Ovis aries: one gene and its partner. The protein of the gene in region 1 binds, or shares a complex with, the protein of each later gene. Links are inferred from orthologs where the notes say so. Each region holds a gene or a part of one and is shown in the gene's direction. Other genes may lie near its edges.

Evidence for each region.
Region 2: VTI1B (region 1) and BET1L share a complex: the UniProt entries of both Homo sapiens proteins name them as parts of the SNARE complex. The link is inferred for Ovis aries from reciprocal best matches to the Homo sapiens genes VTI1B and BET1L.

The regions. Positions count from the first base shown.
Region 1 is NC_056060.1:77,611,779-77,622,546, reverse strand, and holds the start of VTI1B (vesicle transport through interaction with t-SNAREs homolog 1B), read left to right. Parts: upstream 1-3,566; 5' UTR 3,567-3,696; coding exon 3,697-3,811; intron 3,812-10,768. Other genes in the region: RDH11 (retinol dehydrogenase 11), read left to right, coding at 1-94. UniProt on the Homo sapiens protein: V-SNARE that mediates vesicle transport pathways through interactions with t-SNAREs on the target membrane. These interactions are proposed to mediate aspects of the specificity of vesicle trafficking and to promote fusion of the lipid bilayers.
Region 2 is NC_056074.1:47,474,767-47,485,847, forward strand, and holds BET1L (BET1-like protein), read left to right. Parts: upstream 1-4,994; 5' UTR 4,995-5,060; coding exon 5,061-5,079; intron 5,080-6,213; coding exon 6,214-6,305; intron 6,306-6,545; coding exon 6,546-6,602; intron 6,603-6,731; coding exon 6,732-6,899; 3' UTR 6,900-7,985; downstream 7,986-11,081. Other genes in the region: RIC8A (synembryn-A), read right to left, coding at 1-79, 952-1,102, 1,573-1,664, 2,146-2,736, 2,822-2,869, 3,163-3,246; CIMAP1A (ciliary microtubule associated protein 1A), read right to left, coding at 10,596-10,685, 11,068-11,081. UniProt on the Homo sapiens protein: Vesicle SNARE required for targeting and fusion of retrograde transport vesicles with the Golgi complex. Required for the integrity of the Golgi complex.

The DNA.
Region 1 (10,768 bases):
AGCAAGGCGGCTGTGGGACGTCAGCTGTGACCTGCTGGGCATTCCTGTGGACTGGCTGATGATGGCAGCTGGACCCAAGAGAAGCTTGAAGTAGACTACTTAGCATGCCCTGCCAAAACGATTCTCCTTCAGGATGGCCAAAACCTTGAGCACAAAGCACACCTTCCAACCTTGCCTGTTTGATGCCTGACAAAAGCCCAGTGTACACTGCCGGATTCATCCAAACACCTTGCATTTGTCCAGGTTATTTTGCTTCTATTACTGCCCGTTACTAGAGATAATATAGGCTAAGTAGACCCTCAGGTGACCTCCAAGCTCATCTTTTCCTTCTGAAGCCTCTTACCCAGGGGAACCTGAGCTGTGGCAGAGGTTGATTGATGGCACTTTGGATTAGTTTCTATCCTCTTTGTCCACAATGTAGTTCTTCTGAACCAAACAACCTTCAAGGGGAGGCATGATTTAGCCTCAGCTAAACTCTAGGAGTCCCAGTGGCTTGGCTCAAGGGCAGGGTTTGTCCTTCTTCTCTTAAGAAAACCGCCATGGCACCAATATCTGAATTCTTTCAGCTCTTCACTGAATCTGGATTGTGGCATGGCTTTATCTCTGACAATCCAAAGCCACTGCGGCTAAAACACTTTCCCATGCCTAGATCACAGAAGAACTTCCTTTTCTAAGAAAGTGGAGTTTACTGGATGGCAGAGATTTGCGGAAAGGCAGAAATAAACATCAAATTTAAACTGTCATTCATTTTTCTGCTGTTTCTCAAATCAGCAAGAAGGTAGTGGAAAAAGCAGTTTGCAAAGATAGGCCACTTGACTTCAGTTACTGACCCTGATTCATGGAGGCTTCCTCTTTGTGCCTTAGTTTCTCTTAGCAAACCAGAAGAGGAAGGCTATTTAATGATTGTCCCTGAGTATATCTTTGTGTGTGTTCTTGTGTGTTTAAGCAGTTGGGAGTATTCAAAATAGTCACAAAGGAAGAGTATTAAACTGGACCCTAGTGCCGATAAATAATCAGAGACAGAGCAGACCTGTGTCACTCAGCCTTTGATACAAATAGGAAATGAACTCTACCCAAGAAGCACATGGGTAGCAGGGGAGAAGTCCAAAAAAGAGCAGAATCCTGGAAGGTAATGCATGCAAAGGCAATGAAGGGGCTAGAAAAAGGTGTTTCTTTTTTTTTTTTTTTTTTAATGCACAGCTAAAGATGGTAAAATCCAGCAATAGAAGAATTGAGGGTAACTACTTAGCAGCACCCTGTGTTCAAGCATGATAAGGCACTGTTTTAACAAGCATCCGTCAACCCATGTGGCAGAAAAGCAAAAACAGTCCCCAACCCGCTCCAATTCTTTATTCAGCAAAATTATCTTAAGGATTGGTATTGGTAATTATGGTCATTTTAAAACTCTTTCAGGGCATTTCCTTATATGACCATGACAAGATTAAAATGTCTGCTGTATAGTTTACTTGAAGAATGTTTATCCAAAGTAATGGAAGTCTGAGAAATTGGAACACAAACATGTTCCATCACTTGCTTGGAGTACATTCTTTTAGTAGAGTTTATGATTTTCTTGGACTAGTAATTACATGTTCACTTTGGTGGAGAAAAGAGTCATAGGACCATAGTCTTCTCATATTTGTAAATAATCTTTTGTTGAACTTGTTTTGACCATTAAACTATATATTTAGATATGGTCATTTTATGGAAAAATTGGAAAACTTTTGATAATAGTACAGAACTGAATTAATATTTTACTTAATTTATATTGAACTGTCAATGACAAATAAAAAATTTGATGATTTACCATGTTTTTATTTACCAGAATAAAACCTGTAATAATTAAGCAAATTTAATTTGCATCAACAGAAGAAAGCAATTAAATGAAAGTTTAATTACGGTCAAAATAAGAAAACACTTTTCATTACTATGGTTATGCAATCAGTCCTCATTCATGAGGACAATTTGTCCCAGAGTTTGCCACAGTGCAGTCTCAATTCAAATGTTATTAACTTGGGTTGTTGATAATTTGATTGTTCATTCACCCATTTCTGCTAATCTTTTATGACACTGTTCAAAGACCACTTTTTCCAACCCAGGCTATTTATAATCTTTCCTTTTTGTACCTGCCTTTTCTGTAACACAATGCTATTCACTACTACTAACAATCCCAGACTTTGCTATCTCTGAATGCTCAATGAATACTGGTGTCTCAGTGATAAAGAATCCGCCTGCAGTGCAGAAGACTTGGGTTCCATCCCTGGGTCAAGAATATTCCCCTGGAGAAGAGAATGGCTACCCACTCCAGTATTCTTGCCTAGGAAATCCCCTGGACAGAAGAGCCTGGCAGGCTGCAGTCCATGGAGTCACAAAGAGCTGGATACAACTGAGCGACTGACACTTTTCACTTTCTTGGGACTTATCACAGTACACTGCTACTAACAACTGCAGACTTGGCTACACAAAGAGCTCAACAAATGTTTGTTGAATCAAAGGCCAATGAACTCAGTCTAATAAAAATAAGGGCCCAGGAGGTATATACATCACCAAATCATTTCCCCCGAACAGTCAAATGTATCTTAATGTGTGGGCAGTCTTCAGTATTGGGCTGCCAAGGAAACATTTCAGAATGAACTCCATAGGCAAACCATGTAATCAACGGAAATAGGAACTTTCTCCCACTAACCATGGGAACCCACAGAGTGCAGGAAAAGGCTTTGTAATCGTTAACACATTACACTTAATGGTGAAGCCAGGTCTGTCTTGCTCACTACATTATAAGTTATCCAAGCGATGAATCTTTTATTCACCAACACATGCCCAGAACCCAGCATAAAGGCTATGGTTAAATTGACAAACACCTGCTGAGTGAATGACTGCATGAGCAAGCCGATATATGAGCTCAGCCCAAATAAGAGGCTGAGCGCATATTTGAGGGGTCGCACTGCTGTCCGGGGGCCACTCCTGAAAGCATGTCACTCCAGTCACCTGCTCCCCAATAAAAGTGCTTTCAACTCGGGGGCAGGCAGGCACCTGGTCCTACTATCTTCTGAGAACTGAAAGCTAACAGCCGGAATGTGAACTGAGGAAATCAGGATAGTCACAGTGCGATGATAATGACGACGACGGCCAGGTGCCAACTGATACCCTAACCGCTGCGCATCGCGGTCACGCCGGCGGCCGCGGTTACAGCAGGACCACCGCCCCCGGCAACTCGTGACTTCCGAGTCGGAGCGTCTTTCGTGCCGAACTACAACCCCCGGCATGCACTGCAGAGCCCCCCCCCCCAATCCTTGCCGGAAGGCGGGGCCCAGGAAAGAGGCGCCCGCGTCGGCCGGCCCGCGGGTGCCCATGTTTTCCTTCCGCCATCCGGCCTCCCTACAGCCTCGGACTGAGTATTTCTGGGGTTCCGAGACTGCCGCTCGCGCCAAAGCGCCACCGCCCCTTCAGAAGTCTCCCGGGCAACGGAGCCAGACTAACTTTCTGTCAGGCTTTGACGCCCGGCGCGCCGTCAGTGACGGCAAGCAGGGGATGGGCGTTCCGGCCCGGGAGGACCCCGCCGCGGCCCCGGAAGCGCCTCGTCGGGGGACTGTGGCGGCGGTCGCCGTGATGCCTGAGGGGCTGGGCGGCTGACGGCGGAGTAGGAGCGGGCCCTGGGCCCAGAATCTCGGCGCCCGCTGCTCGAGAGCGGCCTGCGCCATGGCCACCTCCGCCGCCTCCTCGGAGCATTTCGAGAAACTGCACGAGATCTTCCGCGGCCTCCATGAAGACCTACGAGGGGTGCCGGAGCGGCTCCTGGGGATGGCAGGGACAGGTGAGGTGGGGGCGGGATGAGACAACGGGAACAGCGCTCCGCTAGCACCGGGAGGAAGAACCCCCACCTCCTTTCCAGACCCACCCTCCCGTCTCTCGCTTGGCGTCCTCAGGCACGCCCCCTAGGCCTGGCTGAGTCCCGGCGTCCAGAATCTCCGTGCTGACACTTAGGTACCCAGGGGTCCACCACGGAGTGTCATCTCTCTCTTGAATCCCCTGTTGCCTTCAGAGTTCGCTCGTTTCATTTTCACTGTGGCAAGATGGGCATGAGAGACCTTATACCTGTGACCCTTAAATCTGTAAACTGAGTATAATTGGTTTTCTTTGTGGCTCTCAGTACTTTGTTTTCCGCGCTTGAAAGTGTTCTCCAAAGAGGCCCATAGTTTTCACCAGATTGGCAAAGGACCTGTAGCACAAAAAGGGTTAAAAACCCAAAGCCATCATAACTTTGGAGGCTGGTGTAAATAACCAGTCTTGGGGGCGGGTAGGGGTTGGGGGAGGGATTGGTCTTTAAAATGAGGATGGTGGCCTTCAGGTGCGATCCTTTTATGACCTCTGCTTAGACCTTCCTGCCCCTTGATTTCATAATGCAGTGTGCTGCAAGCTTGTCTTGGGGGAGCTAAGAATTTTTTGATTGAATCTGTATAGGAAGGTCTATCATAGTTCTTTGCCTTAAAACAAGTAGATCTTGATGGCAAGGCCGATGAGACTTTCATTGCTTTTCCTGAAGCGTGGAAGCTTGAGTGTTTGCTCTGTTACCTAAGGTCACATGAATTGAATGACTCTGATGAGAATGAAACTCATACTTTTGTTTAACATATAGTTATTAAGAGAGGCTGCTGTGCACTCGGCACTGTGTAGATGCTGGTAATATTGCAAATTGCTGTGAAAAGACTTAGAGACCTCTGTTCTTATGGGTCGATGATGATATAAATATTTGGAAGTGGTGTTAAGGGCCATACAGGAAAATAAAGCAGGGCAAGGAATGGGGAAGCTCTAATTGTAAATTGGATGGCTATGAAAGGCCTCTTTGAGGAGGTAACGTTTGAGCAGAGACTTGAAGTAAGGGACTGAACCATGCAAAAATTTGGGAGAAATAAGTTTCAGGAGGACAGACTAGTACTGCTGCTGCTGCTAAGTCACTTCAGTCGTGCCCAACTCTATGCAACCCCATAGACGGCAGCCCAGCAGGCTTCCCCATCCCTGGGATTCTCCAGGCAAGAAGACTGGAGTGGGTTGCCATTTCCTTCTCCAGAATAGTACTGCAATAGTCCTTAAGCAGAAGTGAGCTTGGTATGCTCTAGGAAGAACTAAAGGGCCAGTGTGTTTAGGGTGGAATGAGCAAAGGAAATAATAGTAATAGATAAGGTTTTAAAGGGCCAGATTGTGTGGGGCCACGTGAACCCTGGTGAAAGATTTGCATCTTTATCTAAATACAGTGACTTGAAGTTAAAGGCTACAGAACAGGAGAGTGATTGGATCTGATTTACATGGTTGAAAAATAGATCATTTTTTTCACCTGGTGTTGATTTAAATTTTGCAAGATTTGTTTTTGTAAGGGTGTGGTTGTGGTTTAGTTGCTAGGTCGTGTCTGACTCTTTCCAACCGCATGGACTGTAGCCCACCGGACTCCTCTGTCCATGGCGTTTCCCAGATTGGAGTGGGTTGCCATTTCCTTCTCCAGGGGATCTTCCCAACCCAGGGATTGAAACCCCTGTCTCCTGCATTGCACTTGGTCTCCTGCATTGTAGGCGACTTCTTTACCAACTGAGCTATCAGGGAAGGCTAAATAATGCCAAAGGACATTCTGTTTCCAAAAATAGAAAACTTAGTTGTATTCACTTTTGTCATCTACCTGAGGACAATCAAAAAGGTGTGAATTTCTACCCAGGTACAAAATAGTCTCCACACAAGTTGCTGGTAACACTTAGTTGTTCAGTGGGTAAGTATTATATAGTATTTGCATATCCTCAGGTTATAAGAATTTCAACAGCCTTCAGTCCCTTTATTCACTGCTTTGTTTATATTCCTCAATAAATATTTGTTGAATAAGTTGGATTTAATTAAGCAAACATACTGGGGTGTCATCTCTGAATCCTTTTTTTCTTGTACTAAGACGACTTCATAGGCTTTCCAAAGCTTTCCTATCATGAATTATTAGGCACTGAATAATATAGTCACTGAATAATACATTAATACATAACACATCCCTTGCATTTAGCTTATGCTCTGTAATTGAATTCAGTATTTTCAATAAACATCTATCAAGAATTATGAATCACTCAATATCCTGGGTCTGGGGAGTTCTGTGAGTTCTTGCCTTAAATGGGAGATTTCCAAAGTGTGTGATGAGTCCTAAGATAGTTTTGAGACCGTGACAGGAAGGCTAACATGGCCGTAGGGGAGTGAGAGGAAAGCTTCTCAGAAAGGAGAACTTCTGAGTGTAAAGGGTTGAGTGGGAATTTGCCTGAGAGGGGAAGTGAGAAGAGACAACAAAGGAAGGGGAAAAGAAAAGTCAAATATTCAGAACTGTGACTGAAACAAGATGTGTGTAGGAGATCAATAGTAGATGAGGTAAGTAAGACACAGCCAGACCTTTCAGTTCAGTTCAGTCGCTCAGTCGACTCTTGGCAACCCCATGAATCGCAGCACGCCAGGCCTCTCTGTCCATCACCAGCTCCCGAAGTTCACTCAGACTCATGTCCATCGAGTCAGTGATGCCATCCAGCCATCTCATCCTCTGTCGTCCCCTTCTCCTCCTGCCCCCAATCCCTCCCAGCATCAGAGTCTTTTCCAGTGAGTTAGCTCTTCGCATGAGGTGGCCAAAGTACTGGAGTTTCAGCTTTAGCGTCAGTCCTTCCAAAGAACACCCAGGACTGATCTTTAAAATGGACTGGTTGGATCTCCTTGCAGTCCAAGGGACTCTCAAGAGTCTTCTGCAACACCACAGTTCAAAAGCATCAATTCTTCGGCGCTCAGCTTTTTTCACAGTCCAACTCTCATATCCATACATGACCACAGGAAAAACCATAGCCTTGACTAGACGGACCTTTGTTGGCAAAGTAATATCTCTGCTTTTGAATATGCTACCTAGATTGGTCATAACTTTCCTTCCAAGGAGTAAGTGTCTTTTAATTTCATGGCTGCAATCACCATCTGCAGTGATTTTGGAGCCCAAAGAAATAAAGTCTGACACTGTTTCCACTAAGGGACCTAAATATCACATTAAGACATCTAAACTTGATATGGAGAGTCAGTAAAGGATTTTAAATTCTTTTAAAAGGCAGCCCATGTTGATACCAAAGGCAGAAGACATCACAAGAAAAGAAAAATACAGGCCACTATCCCTGATGAACACAGATGCAAATATCCTGAACAAAATACAGATTCTAAAAATCGGACCATATGGTTGTATTTTAGAAGGAGAATGCTGGTGACTGAGTAGAGGTTGAAAGAGAGGCACAAAAATATGCTGGGGACCATACATTGGTGGATTTTTTTTCTGGGCTGTCTTTTCCATTCCATTGAGCTTTGAATTTGTTTTAATGCCAGTTACCATACTGTTTTCATTACTATAGCTTTATAATATACAGTTAACCCTTGAACACCAACCTTCTGTGTAGCTGAAAATCCAAGTGTAGCTTGTTGGCCCTCCTATCCAAGGTTCCTCAGTATCTGCAGACTCAGCCAACCATAGGTTATATGGTACTGTAGAATTTACTATTGAAAAAAATGTGTTTATAAGGGGGCCTGCCCAATTCATACCCTTGTTCAAGGGTCAGCTGTAGTTTGAAATCAGAAAGCATGATGCCTCCAGCTTTGTTCTTCTTTTTCAAAATTGCTAATTGTGGTCTCTTGTGGTTCCATACAAATTTTTGGATTGTTTGTTCTGTTTTGGTGGAAAATGCCCTTCATTTTGCTAATATTTTGTTGAGGATTTTTGCATCAGGGATATTGGCCTGTAATTTTCTTTTCTTGTGATGTTCTCTGGTTTTGGTATCGATGTAGTGCTGGCCTCATAAAAGACTTTGGAAGCGTTCCCTCCTCTTCTGTTGTAAGCTCTATATTTTGTCTGTTTTGTTAATTATATATCCTAAGCACCTAGATGGAAAAGGATATGGCAACCCACTCCAGTACTCTTGCCTGGAAAATCCCATGGACAGAGAAGCCTGGTGCAGGCTACAGTCCATAGGGTCGAAGCAAGTCAGACATGACTGAAGTGACTTAGCACTCAAGCACCTAGAACAATGCCTAGTACATACTTGGTGCTCTATAAATATTTGCTGAATGGTTGTATAAATACTGTGAGTTGTTGGGAAGAGAATAGTAACTCAACATATGATTAAATGTTGAAACTGAAGGTGATTTTATTTACCATGTTTTCCATATTGTCATCACTTTTAAAATCAATGTATACACCTATTTTTAAAAAGGATAGGATTAACAGACGCAATGTGTCCTACTTTAGGAAGTTTGTATGGAAGTGACAGTCCATTAGCATTTGTGATACTTATTAATCCATTATTACTTTAAACACCCACAACAGTAGTCTTAGTTTTGCAGCATCTGAAGAGGTCTCTCCACATATCTCAGGCTGCTGTAAATTCTTATCCAGTCAATACAGTAAGTACCTAGAGTCATGATTTCTAGTTTTAGTTTCGTAGCACCTGAAGGCATCTCTCCACATGTTGTAATGAACATTGTAAAATTATTCAGTTTTTCACTTTAATTCACTTAAATTTCAGTTGCTATACACAAAACTTCATTATTTTGGAAACCAGAAAAAATGATAACTATGGAGGACCATATGTAGCATGTTGGTAAACACAATTACTCACTGACTGCAGAATTTTAATTTTTCCAACACTTCATATTCTTTAAATTTAGTTTTTGCTTAGTTCTTCCTACCTAGGAATTTACTTTAAAAACACTGGTAGTCACTGTTTGTTGAGCCCTAATGTGCTTAGCATTTGCTGCGTGTTTGTTATGTGTATTGTCTTTTTCAGACAACTATACAGGTCAGTGCTGTTATATTTCTTATTTATAATTGAGGAACCAGGCTTAGAGTGATCTGATGCTTTAATTTCCTTTATGGTGTGAGATCCAGGTTAACCATGAGGTCTGCAAAGAGGATGTAGGTCCTAGAAATGCTGCAAGGAAGCACCAAAAGCATTAATCACAGATTTTAAAGATCCTGTTGAAACTGAAGTTATTTCCACAGTTCTAATGGACCAAGATGAGTCATTCTGGGGCTGTGAAAATTCAAACTGCTAGATGGCTGGATGGCATCACTGACTTGATGGACGCAAGTCTGAGTGAACTCCGGGTGTTGGTGATGGACAGGGAGGCCTGGCGTGCTGCAATTCATGGGATCGCAAAGAGTTGGACACGACCGAGTGACTGAACTGAACAAGTGGCTCTGCTGGTAAAGAATCCACCTGCAGTGCGGAAGACTTGGGTTTGATCCCTGGGTTGGGAAGATCCCCTGGAGAAGGGAAAGGCTACCCACTGCAGTATTCTGGCCTGGAGAATTCCATGGACTGTATAGTCCGGAGTGTCACAGAGAGTTGGACATGACTGAGCTACCTTCTTTTCTTTTTCTACAAGATGGAGAGGCTGCCACCTTGGTTGAGATGAGGTGGGCTTCCTCTAGCACTTTCAGAGCTGGCTGTTTCCATTTTATTCCGTGTCTGAGACATTGTGCTGCCATGCACCTAGTTTACCAAACATTCGGCTGCAGAGTGAGTCACTCACATGTGAATGGTTTGGAAAGACATGAGGGGTCAAGAATAGTGTTATTTAGAGTAGCTCATTTTTTCTGAGTTTCCGGTGTCCATTCTACCTGGTATCAGTCTTGCTGTTTTGTAGTTGATTATAGTGTTAATTCTAGCTCCCTAAAAAATGAAGAGATTTGAAAGGATTATACCTGTGTACCTTGAGAGCATGAAAATATCCCTCAGTGCCATCGTGTACATGGTGTACAGTGCCATAGTCAGGAGACTTGCATTCTGTAACTAGTGTTGCTACACACCTTCTCTTTTCTATGGCCTTGGGGAAGACAGTTTCTCCAGGCTCTGGTTTCCTTAACTGTAAAATGAGGTTAGACTAGATGATTTCTGAGGGCCATCTTAGCTCTTAACATTCATTAATTTCACAATTCTGAGCAAAGCATAAAGGAACAGGTATCGATACCTCTCAGTTGGGTAGGGGTTCCATCTCTTGAATCTTTAAAAGTGTATAGGCTGTAGAGCACTCCTAGGAGAATATATGTCTTATGAAATCAGAGAGTAGAGTATTCCAAAAAGACTGAGAATAACAGAATCATGCAGGGAAGTTAGTGAAAGGATCAAGACTCTGTGGACTACCTTGCCACCCCCCTACCCCAATTCTTATTATACAGCTGCCTTCTTTGAATTATTCTAGAATTTGTCTCTTAGGAAAGCAGACATTCATATCCTTTAACAAAGATTAAACGAGGAGAACTTAGGACTAACAGAGATGTAGAAAAATCTAGGACCAGAGCGCCCTTATAGAACTCTGTCATCTTGGATCAGGAGTGAGTGAGTGTGCTTGCGTTTGGAGATGTGTCTCTTCAGAGGAGTGGTGGCACTCAACACTTTCGTGAATGCTGATTGTAAAATATGATAGCTCTCCATGGAAGTAGCCATTCTTGATTGCAGATATTATTTCACTGCTGATGGGTGGAAACATAGCCCACTCAAGGATAATAAGGCTGCTTTGGCACTTCTGCTGGCTCAGACAGGGAGAATCTGCCTGCAGTGTGAGAGACCCAGGTTCAATCCCTGGGTCAGGGAAGATGCCTGGAGAAGGGAATGGCTACCCACTCCAGTGTTCTTGCCTGGAGAATTCCATGAACAGGAAAGCCTGATGGGCTACAGTCTATGGGGTTGCAAAGAACAACTAACACTTTCACTTGTGGTGGTAATTTCATGGTGGT
Region 2 (11,081 bases), on another chromosome or scaffold:
TCCTGGCGGGGCGGTGCATGCGGGCACACTCCGTCAGCACGCTCAGCACAGGGGCCACGCTCTCCTTCAGCCTGTGTGTCTGCAGAGGAGCCTCGGTCACTGGACTGGGCCCCCTTACTCAAGGCCGGGGGCCAGGAACCTGCCCCAGATGATCCTGGTGGGAGGCACTTGGGAAGTGGCCCCAGCTGAGGGACCAAGAGCGAGCCGTGGGTGTCTGTATGAGCTTCAAAAAGAACAGGCACAGACCCTAACTCAGAAGGCCATTTGTACGTTTGGGCAACCCCACGTACTTTCCCCACCTTTAAATGAGGGGTGGAAAACAGCATGTTTAAAGTCGTTAACCACCAGCACACAAGACCATTCCCAAAGCACTGAATCTTAGGCCTGCCGTGCTCCAGCCCGCACGACGCCGGCAAACCCCCAGAGAAGCTGGTCAGAGTGCCGGCCAGTCAGCATCCCAGGGTGCAGCTGCAGGGAGCGGGGGGCTGCGGGCTCTCAAGGGCCTGTGGGTCCTCCGAGCGAAACCATGGCACAGCTGACGCCCATCTCGAGGGCTGCTCGTGCACAAGGACATTCTGAGTCCAGGGGCACAGAGAGGGATGGGGAGCGTGGTGGCACTTCAAGGGGGTAGGGGTGGGAGGCTTCTCAGGACTCCTCAAGAGGATTCACAAAGATGTCTAAGAAATGAGTCCTTTGCCAGATTCTGAAAGCACTTTGCCCCTCATCCCTCTCTGTGCCCCTGGACTCAGACTGTCCCTGTGCACGAGCAGCCCTCGAGATGAAGCCCACAGACTTCTCAGGGAGGAAGATCCGGCTTGACCATGACGTGGGAGGAACCGCCCGAATCACACTGGGGAGGTGATCTCCCCTCACCAGTGTGGACAGCAAAAACACAGTGACCACAGTAGCTGCAAAAACCTGGGCCAAAGCCACAGCAGTCCCCCTGCCCACCTGATGAAGACGCTTCTCCATGAAGCTGAGGAGGACACGAATCACATCCATGTTCACCCCTAGGAACTCCAAGGAACCTCCGTGTGGCTCCAGGGCGAGGAGAACATCCAGACACTCGACAGGCAAGTTCCCCAGGAGGTTCACTGCGTGGCTGGGGGCAGATGGAAGGGGCACTTGGTGAATACCGACCCCTGCTGCCAGCTGCTGGGGCCGTAAATGCCGTGAACCAGTGTCTGGGGGCCCAAGCAGCAGAACAAGGTACCAGAGGCAAGAGTGCTACTTCCTGTAAATGCCCAACCCACCACGTATCTAGGTTGAGGCACCACAGCTAAAACTGAGAACCGGCCTAGGCATAGGCCACCAAGAAGGAAAGTGAGGAAGCACACCACCCTATCGATACCACAGCGCCCGCTGCCCCTACCCAAGGCCCCCTGGCACCGTCCTGCCTTGGACTCACACCTCCGATCCTAGACCATAAGTGCTGGAGCGCCCCAGAAACACACTTTTGTCTGGTTCCACCCAGAAGGATGAAGACTCTAAGGCTGGGAACCACCACAGCGACCTGTGAGCAAACCACCCCCATTCCTCCCCACCCCCCCGCATGACAGGCACCCCCCTCACCCGTGGAACTCCTCTGTGCGGTCTCCAGCAGCAGCAACCATCACACAGTGCCGCAGAAGGGTCCCCAAGTGCCGGTATAGAGCAGTGTCTTCCTGACCAGACAGACAGGAGTTCCTGTGAGAGCGCGCCCCACTGGCCCCACTGCTGCCAACTGAGAGTCTACCTTCTGGACACCCCTGCAAGACCTCATGCATTAACAACTATGCTTCTCTACTGCACACCCTGGTGCTTGTCCTCTCCCAGGAGACCTCAAGAGAACTCTCGGTTAAGAAAATCAATGGATCCCCTTGGCACACAGCTGCTCTGTGCTTCAGCCCCACTCAGTCTCACCACGAAGAATCTCACAGCCTCCCCTGCACACCACACAGCCCTCCAGCCAGGCTGCAAGAGCCAGTTATGCTCTCCAACTCCCTCAGAAAACTTCCTTGAGACCGGTCCAAGATAGGTGTTCCCTGCTTCTCTCGACTGGCTAAGCACACCTAATCCAGAAATTTGAAGGAACCCAGCAAAGCAGCATGTGCAGGAAATGTCCAAGCTGTTAAACCCCACCCACAGGTTGAGGTCCGCCCTCACCTCATCCACCTCCCTCTTGATGGAGTCGAAGGTGATGTTGAAAAGCACTTTGAGGATCTCCATGGCTCGCTCAGTCTCCTGGGGAGGCAGGAGCTCAGGGTGCCTCTCGCCCTCAGTCATTCCCAACGTCAGCTCCAGCGCCCTGGTCAGCAGGCGCACTCCCTGCAGCTCCTGAAACAGCTGCTGGCGCACGTCGGTGCGGAGTGCAGTTAGCAAGAACAGAAGACGCAAGTCAAAGAACTGGACGTCGTGCGGGAAGCTACTCCGGCTGTGCAGTCCGACGCGCTCTGCGAGCCTCACCACTAGCCCCGCCTCTGCTGCCAGGACCTGTGCCCCGGGGCTGCTTAGCACGAGGTTGCACAGGCACTTAAGGGACTCGAGTACGACATCCACGTTCAGCGGCTCAGGGACCGACCCTTGGGAGGCGGAGATGCCAGCATAGCAGGCAAGAGCCTGCAGGCTCCGGCGACTGGTGAAGGAGTCCAGGCAGCTGCGGTCCCTGGACAAGATGCGGATGCTCTGCAGCCAGATAACGCGGCGGGAGGGTGGCAGGCCCTGCTCCAGGACCGAGACAAGCAGCTTCGCCAGTCTCTGCGGGCAGGGAGAAGAGCCGTTCCACCAGGCCCTTCTACCTGGGCCACCCAATCACGCCCCTCCACCTCCGGTGAGCACCCACCTTCCTATCCTCCTGTTGCGCATCATCAAACGTGAAACTCTGGGAGTTCTGCAAAGAAACCCAGAGGCTAGAAGGCACAGGCCTACCGCGTCAGAACCCGGGTTCCGCGGATGGGGGCCTGAGGCCGAAGGCACCTCTATGAACAAATGGCGCCCCAGCCCCACACACCGGCACCCTCGCAACTCCTCAGAGAGTCGGTGCTCCTCCCCATCGCTCTCCCTTCCACCCTCAGCCCCTTGCCACGCTCACCGCTCTCGCCGCCCCTCCAGCCGGCCACGCGCGCGGGCCCCACCCGGCCCCACCTCCTCTCTGCACGTCCCAAGTCTACAACTCCCGCTCACCTCCCGGTTGTACGCGCGCAAAGCTTCCATAACCACGTCCTCCTCCCCCGTCTCCAAGGCATCCGCAACTGCACGGGGCTCCATGGCACCTCCAGGACCCGATGCCAGGAAGGCCGGAGGCTCCCGGCTTCGCGATTCCGGGCAAGCGTCTGCCCGCCCCGCCCAGGCTCGGCGCGCGGGGGAGGCCGGGACGGGGCGTGCGCGGCGCCGTGGGGCGGGGCCTGGGTTGCGCGCAGGGGAGGCCGGGACCGGGCGGGCGCCGAGCTCTCTGGGTTGCGTGGAGCCTTAAAGGGGCGGGGCCTGGGCTGCGCGCGTGGGAGGCCGGGACGGGGCGTGCGCGGCGCCGTGGGGCGGGGCCTGGGTTGCGCGCAGGGGAGGCCGGGACCCGGCGGGCGCAGAGCTCTCTGGTCTGTGTGGCGCCTTAAAGGGGCGAGGCCTGGAACAGCTGGATAGAACTTGAAGACTTTGCTGCCGAGTCAGCTTTGGCCTTAAACTCCGGCTCGGTGATCGTCCGACTTATGGGCCAGAATCGCCCTGAACCGAGCAGTGAGCCTCACTCCTTGGGCTAGGATTCCTGACAGGAGAGGGCCTCAGCCCCGCACCCCTCCATCACACGCACACCAACACCGCTCTTGATGCACAGAACGAATGAAACGTCCAGGGAAAAGTCGAGGTGGAAAGGAGTTTACAACCTCCGGACCACTTGGTTTCTAAACAGATGTTTGAGTGCCTACTGCACGCGAGGAGCCGGGATGCGGGTGAATAGAACCCACAGGTTCCTGCCTTCTTGGCGCTTATGTGCCGGATGTGAAGACTAAAACGGGCAAACAAGACGACGTTAGGCAGCTATAGTGCTGTGATTGAATAACAAAAGGGGCTTGATGGGCTGCAAGGAGATCTGAAGAAGTGCCAGTCAGTTTTTGCTGAGACCGGAGCCTAGGGAGTGAGCCAGGAAAGGCTCCGAAGGAAGGTTCTGCAAGGCAGGAGTGGCCAGTGCGAGGGTGGGAATGGCCGTGGAGGGAGAGAGAAACATCACTGTTGGAGCTGAGAGAAAAGAGAGACGGGGTCGGGGTGGGGGGAAGGTCAGGAGGAAGACAAAGTCTGACTGTGTGCGGTGACTTCCCTGCTGTGTAAGCAGGCACACCTGCTCGTCTGCTTGGGCTGTTTCCTTTTTTGAAAAGCAGAGACGATACAAGTTTCCATTTCAGTGGATTGTCGAGTACATGGCACAGCAATTGCTCCATTACGGGGGGTGGGTAACTTATAACCCATCCACCGGGCAAGAAGGCTTTGTTAAGCATCTACTTTGTCAGGCCCCTTGTCAGCACCGCGTGCAAGGTCAAAAAGCGCTGGCTCCTCCCGTACCCACTCCCCTCACGCTCCCACCCCTCTTCCTGGTTCCTTGTTTTCTTCAGAGGGCTTCACTCCTGCGACTTCTGCACCGCTCGCTCGTTCCAGGCACTGATCTCGTTTGTCCTGCCGGCAGTAACTGGAACCGGGCTTCCCATCGAGTTCGCTCCGGGCCTCAACCCCGGCGGGGTCGCGGCGAGGAGCCTCTTTGGCCCGGGAAAGGCCCGTGTGCTCTTCCCAGTTAGGACCCCGACACCGCCTTAGGCGGGAATGGCTGCTGGAGTGTCTGTGGGCACCATAGTTGCCTCTAAAACCACAAATCATCCAGGAGTCCCGAGAGCAAACGCCAGCCCCATCCCCAAGTCAAACGACGGAAGAAACGTCAGATTCTTCCCGTTCCCACCGCCGAGTCTGTCGGCCAGATCTCGGCCGGAAGTGGGGGGCCTGAGGCGGAAGGGGTGGGGCCGGAAGCCCCTTCCGGCGACTGCGCCACGTCCGAGGAGGCTGTAATCAAGCGGTGACGGACCCTGGGGTCGGAGCTGGACGCGATGGCGGACTGGGCTCGGGGTGAGCGCGGAAGGGCGGAGGCGGATGGCTACGGGGCTCGCCGGGGCCGACTCCGCTGCTCTTAGGAACCGCCTTCGCCTTTCTCCGCGGCACTAGGTGGCGTTGTTGGCAAGACACTGCGGGCGGGCGTAGTTTGGGCAGGGCGGCCAGGGTGCAGCCCGCCGCGCTGTGGATGAGTCGCTGGGTCCCTTTGGGCGCTCCTGCCCAGCTGCTGCGTGAAACTGCGGGGTCCGGATGCCCGCAGTCCCCACCCGTTTCGTCCCTGGGAGATGACTCTGCACGGGACCTCGGCCGGGTCTCCTGGTTGACGGGTCCCTGAGGCTAGACCCCCTCGGAGTGAGAGCTGCGCGTGATAGGAGGGCCCAAGCATGCCTAGTACCCCACTTGCCTTCTGGGAGTCTCTCTTCACCTGCGAAGTGGGATGCTGATGCTTGTTTCGCTGGGCTGTTGTGACTTTTAAGGAGTTAAGGGTACAGTCGGTCGGTAGGACCTTTACACCTCTTATTTTGGGGTTTGTAAGAAGCCATGGTTCCTAGACTGTGCCCGCTTTTGATGAGTCTCCTTGAGGCATCGGGCTCGAGGCAAATGCGCACTCTGAACTTTGTGGGAAACAGTTCTCACCAGCCTGGTAGGGTGGTAATTCTGAATCACCAGGCCCAGCGCCTGTCTCGGGCCAGTTCTCAGCGGGTACCAGGCTCTGGGTGACACACAAGACCCTGTGTGGGATCAGTCTCAAGCCCTGTAAGTCTTACCAGAGCTCATTGGGGTTTATTTTGAGAACAGGTTCTGTGTACCTTGCTAGTGACACCTGCGGAGGGATGGTACAAGTTCCGTCACAGAATGTCTGAAAGTACTGGTTGAACTGAGCCCTTTGGAGGTGCCCGCCCACCCATCCCAGCCTGGATACATGCACAGGACCTGTGCTCACACTGTTGTTTATACAGTCCTCCTCATGTGTGAAGTTGGATCCTGGGTGAGGGTGGGGCCTGCTCAGCAGACACACAGAGGCCGGGTCCCCTTAGATGCCTGACTGGGCCAGATGGGATTGGAGGCCGGAGGCCACAAAGGGCCGAGATTATAGGGGTCACGGTTCATGAGCGGAGTCATGCTTTCAGCCTCTCTCTCTCCTCACAGCTCAGAGCCCTGGTGCTGTGGAGGAGATTCTAGACCGAGAAAACAAGCGGATGGCTGACAGCTTGGCCTCCAAGGTCACCAGGCTCAAATCGGTCAGTGGTGGTCCTCTCCTTTTGCCTCCACCTGGCATCTGGAGGGGGTGGTCAGCGGGCAGTAAAGACCTGGATGGGTTTCAGGTAGTTCCGTTCTCCTTGTCCCACCTGTGGCATACTCATCTGTGCGAGGCCCAGGTGGCATTTGGATCTTCTGATCTCTGTTGATCTTGTTGGGGGTCAGGTGCTGTTCACTGTGTTTGTCCCGGTCTGACCCTGCCCCCTCTGTGTCCTGACCAGCTGGCTCTGGACATCGATAGGGATGCGGAGGACCAGAACCGGTACCTGGACGGCATGGTAAGGGCCTGCGGTTTGCAAGCGTCACGGTCAGCTCAGCTCCCCACCACCTGCTTTGCAGCCCCCATCTGTGTGTGTGTGTTGCAGAGTCACTGTCCCTTTGTGACAATGTTGGAATTTCTCCCTCAGGACTCAGATTTCACAAGTATGACGGGTCTACTCACAGGGAGTGTGAAGCGGTTTTCCACAATGGCGCGATCTGGGCGAGACAACCGGAAGCTTCTTTGTGGTATGGCTGTGGGCCTGATTGTGGCCTTCTTCATCCTCTCCTACCTCCTGTCGAGGGCAAGGACGTGAGCCAATGGGAACTGGCTTCTGTGGGTGCCTGGGGCAACCAGGATTTTCCTCTGTCTGGTGTTTTGGGCTCCAGAGAACTTGTTTTCAAAATACTCCTTTGAAATGAGGATCATGGCTTAGGAATGTTTTTTCTGCGTGGTTGGGAGCCTCTAACCCAGTGAGCTCTTGTTAGCTGGTTCTATGTGTGCAAGGGCCCTATCCCTGTGGGGTAGCCTAGGCCCAGCTCCCTCTGCCACCTTGAGCTCTAGAAGCCCCAGCAGTGTTGGGTCCAAGCAGAGCATCTGGGAATCCTGGACACGGCCGCCTGTGAGCAGCAGTCCTTTCATCGGCCCTTGAGGTTCTGAGCATCTCAAGGCTTCTCTGCGCTGTCTTGGTCTGGATGAGGCTGTGTCTGATGTTTGAGCTGCCTGGAGCTGACACAGGAAGGGGGTGTGGCTGTGAAGCTCAAATCACTGCTGTCACCTCCAACTGAGTGTCCTCAGCCCGGAGACTGCAGTTTCTCTGGCCAGGGCTGCTGGTCATCCATGACCCGGAGAGATTCAAAGGTCCTGCTGAGTGGCCTCTTCCTGCCCTCCAGTCCCGCGACTGAAACCAGGCCCTCGGGGATGGGCAGGGGGTGTGGGTGGAGGAAGGGACTGCAGCGCAGGCTGAGGACTTGGGGCCCAAGGCCTGCAGTTTCCCAGCCGTGTGTCCAGGAGCAGAAGCCGATGTTCTCACGGGATTCAGGATCTGCCCAGCACCAGAGGCCTGCTTCCCGGAGACTAGACCTCTGGAGACATGTCCGTCTGACGCTTCAGAGTCAGGCCCGGTGTGAGGCGGGGCTTTTGTCGGTGTACGCGGGAGGTTTCTGGATAGTGACTTTTCTTAGGAACTGTAGGGCACTTTTTGAGGGTTTGTGGGCAGTTTCCACTAAGCTAACCCTAACCTGCAATGTCTGCCCACCTCTCCCTGGGCCCTCAGTGTCCACTCGGTCAGTCCCCTGCTCCTATGGACTGAACTAACAGGCCCAGCCAAACCAGTGGCTTCGTTGTACCTCCCTGTGAGTCCCCGGTGTCCTCGTCTTCCCATAAAAAACGCTTGTAAGAAGTCGTTGGCTCTGTGTCTTTCCTGGTTCCTGTTCCCATCTTCTTGGGTACGCTCCTCACTCTGACCGTCCAGCTGCCCGCACACTCGTGCCGCGTGTGGGGCATCCGCTCCTCTCGCCACCTTGCCCTCTCCTCTGCCCGTGCGGACCTCGCCTTCTGGCCCTGGCACTCTGCCGCTCCTCTTCCTCTCCCTGGTTCCCTGCCCAGCAGGCCCGGCCTCTCCTCAGACGCTTGCCATGGAGCCCTTTTCTCTCTGCTGCACTTGGCTGGGCCCTTGGCCTCCTGAGTGTTCTGCCTGACGGTCACCATTCCTCCAGTGCGTGCTGCTCACACAGTAAGGTTGGCCTGCTTGCCTCTGTGTCCCTGGGGCTTGGGTTTATCTCTGTCCTCCTTGACATCCCTGCACAGGACCCTGTGGCCGTGCCTTGACCCCCGTTTTGTGTACCACGGCTTTGACTTCGCCCTCTGCCCTCTCACAGTGAACCTAGTCACAGGGACTTGTCCACTGGTCACCAGGCTCAAAGCTGCTACCCATAGAGTGTCTTCATCTGGTCACTGCAGGCACAGCAGATACCCCCAGACCTGAACTCCGTGGCCCCTGCCTTTTCTGGGCCTGCTAACCTTGCTTCCTGAGAAAGTGGCTCAGCCAGGGCAGCCCTCCTCAACTGCCCCGCTCCAAAGCAGACCAGGAATTTGGAGTTCGTGTTTCAGGGTGGTCTTTTCTGAGGAAAGTGAAAGTTGTTCAGTCGTGTCCGACTGTTTGTGACCCCATGGACTGTAGTTCATGGAATTCTCCAAACAAGAATACTGGAGTGGGTAGCCTTTCCCTTCTCCAGGGAGTCTTTCCATCCCAGGGAACGAACCCAGCTCTCCTGCACTGCAGCCAGGGTCTCTACCGACTGGGCTGTCGGTGAAGTCCCTTCTCTGAGGAGGACTTCGCCATCTCTGCTGTGTGGTTTGCCTCAGGTTGCCGTCTGTGCCTCCCTGCTTCTCCATCTCTGTGACTCTGTAGCCTTCCCAGCTATTCGGGGTCTGGGTGTTTGTTTGTCATTGTGTTAGATGAACAGCTGAAGCGGGCATGGAGCTCTGCTGTGCTGTGTCAGGAGGGTTTCCTGTGGGGCCTTCACCCTTCTCAGCCCTGTACACTGAGCGCCTAGTCCTGTGGGTGAGTGGGGTTTGCTGACGTTGAGCCCGAGACTATAAAGCAGAGAAGGACTTGAGGACCTTTGGGGTCACGTGTGGACAGACAGCCAGGCTCTATCCCTTAAGTCAAAGACAAGGCATTTAGCAAGAAAAACTCGAAATAAACAGCATCAAAGTAAACATGGCCTTTGGTGTTTCCATTTCTGTGGGGGCTTCAGAAAGGTTTGTCTGGAACTGACCGTGATCTACAAGCTGGCCACAGGCACTGGTGGTCTTGACTCTGCTGCTCACACATCCCCCTGGACAAGCAGATGTGGGCTTGACAGTTCCTGCTCCTGGACCTTTGTTTGCCCAGGTTCCTGTGACTCAGATGGAAAGATGATAGCATTACTGCGTCAGGATTGGGGGAATATATGTGAGTACTTAGAACAAGTAGCCTGACACAGTCACAGCTCAGTGAGGGCCAGCAGTTGTCATGTCCTTCGTATAGCTGCCGGCACAGGTGCAACAGGGCTGCCTGCTCAGGGCTGGGGTGAAGATCAGAATCATTCCTCAAGGCTGGCCCTGGACTCCAGGGTGCCCTCTGGAAACACCTCTCTTCATCCCCGCTCAGACACCCCTCCCTGCCCACACCCTGCTGTGCTCCTGGGCTTGATGCATAGCAGACCACCTTCAGGTGTCGCCACAGGGGACTCTGTCTCATGGGGACCCCTTGTGTTTGAGACAGAGATGGTTCTCTCTGCGCTAGGATGTTAGTTACAGCCTTTTGGAGGCAGGCTGGCACTACCACCCCCTGCAAGCTCAACACAAATCTGCAGGTGGTTGCAGAATGTGAGCTGAGGGCCCACCTGGCCTCACTGCCTTGCTGTGTGTCGAGCTCACTCACAGTGTGGTGGCTGATGGGAGGATGAGCAAAGAGAAGGGGGTTGTCCAGGCAGAAACCCTTTGTATGTTGTGTGGCCTGGCTTCAGAAGTCAATAACAGCAGCATGATTATTCAGGATGGTCACAGGCTCTATTCTAGAATCCAGGGGAGGGGCACAGACTCCATGTCTCAGCAGGGAAGAGTTAGTCTCACAGGGAGAAACCACCTGGAGAGACCTTCTGGAGGATACAACAGAGCGTGGAGGGCAGGGATGGAGGCAGAACGAGCCCTCCTCTCGGCTCAGACCCCGGGCCCTGGAACTCGACATGGGATGGCGTGATCGCCTATGGGGGCCTCTTTCTGGAAAAGCTGGATCCTCCCCCAAGAGAAGACCATTGCTGGTAGAATCCATGATTTTATTATATATCTGGGCACAGCAAGAAACAAGGTTAGCAAATGGGAACGCATAGAAAAAATAACTGATTGCAATTGGCTAAACGAGCGTGCTCTGCCCTCCAGGGCTGGGCCGGCTGCAGCCCTCAGCTCGGGGCATCTCTTAGTGGGGCGATGTGCAGAGACTTCCAGCATGGGGGTGGGGCCGGGGCTAGTCCACATCCACGACCAGGGGCGTCATGTAGTCAGAGTGTTTGATGCCGAAGGAGACAACAGGGGCGCAGGGCCTGGTCATCGTCACCTGGGAGAGGAGAGGCTGTAAGGAGCCGGCACCGCTGCCCCACCCCACAGGCTCTGCCCTCACTGGCTGGAGCTGCTGACAGTGGTTTTGCTGTACCCCCGAAACCCTGGGCCAAGGTGACCAGCAGGAAGTCCACTCTGCCAGGCATGACTGCAGAGCCTGGGTGTGGTGCGTGCTCGGCAGCGCTCGCCGTCCTGTGTCTGGGGGTCTGGGAACCCAAGCCGCCAGCGGGGGAGAAGGCTGCTGCTGCCTGCGCGAGCCCTCAGGGTGCCTGGCCTCCATGGCCCTTGCCGGCTCGCAGGCCCTTCCCCGCACCACCCTCTGGGCCATGCCGCCCCTGCCTGCTCCCACCCCACCCGTCTGGGCCGTGCTCTTGCCAGACCTTCTCGGGGCTGT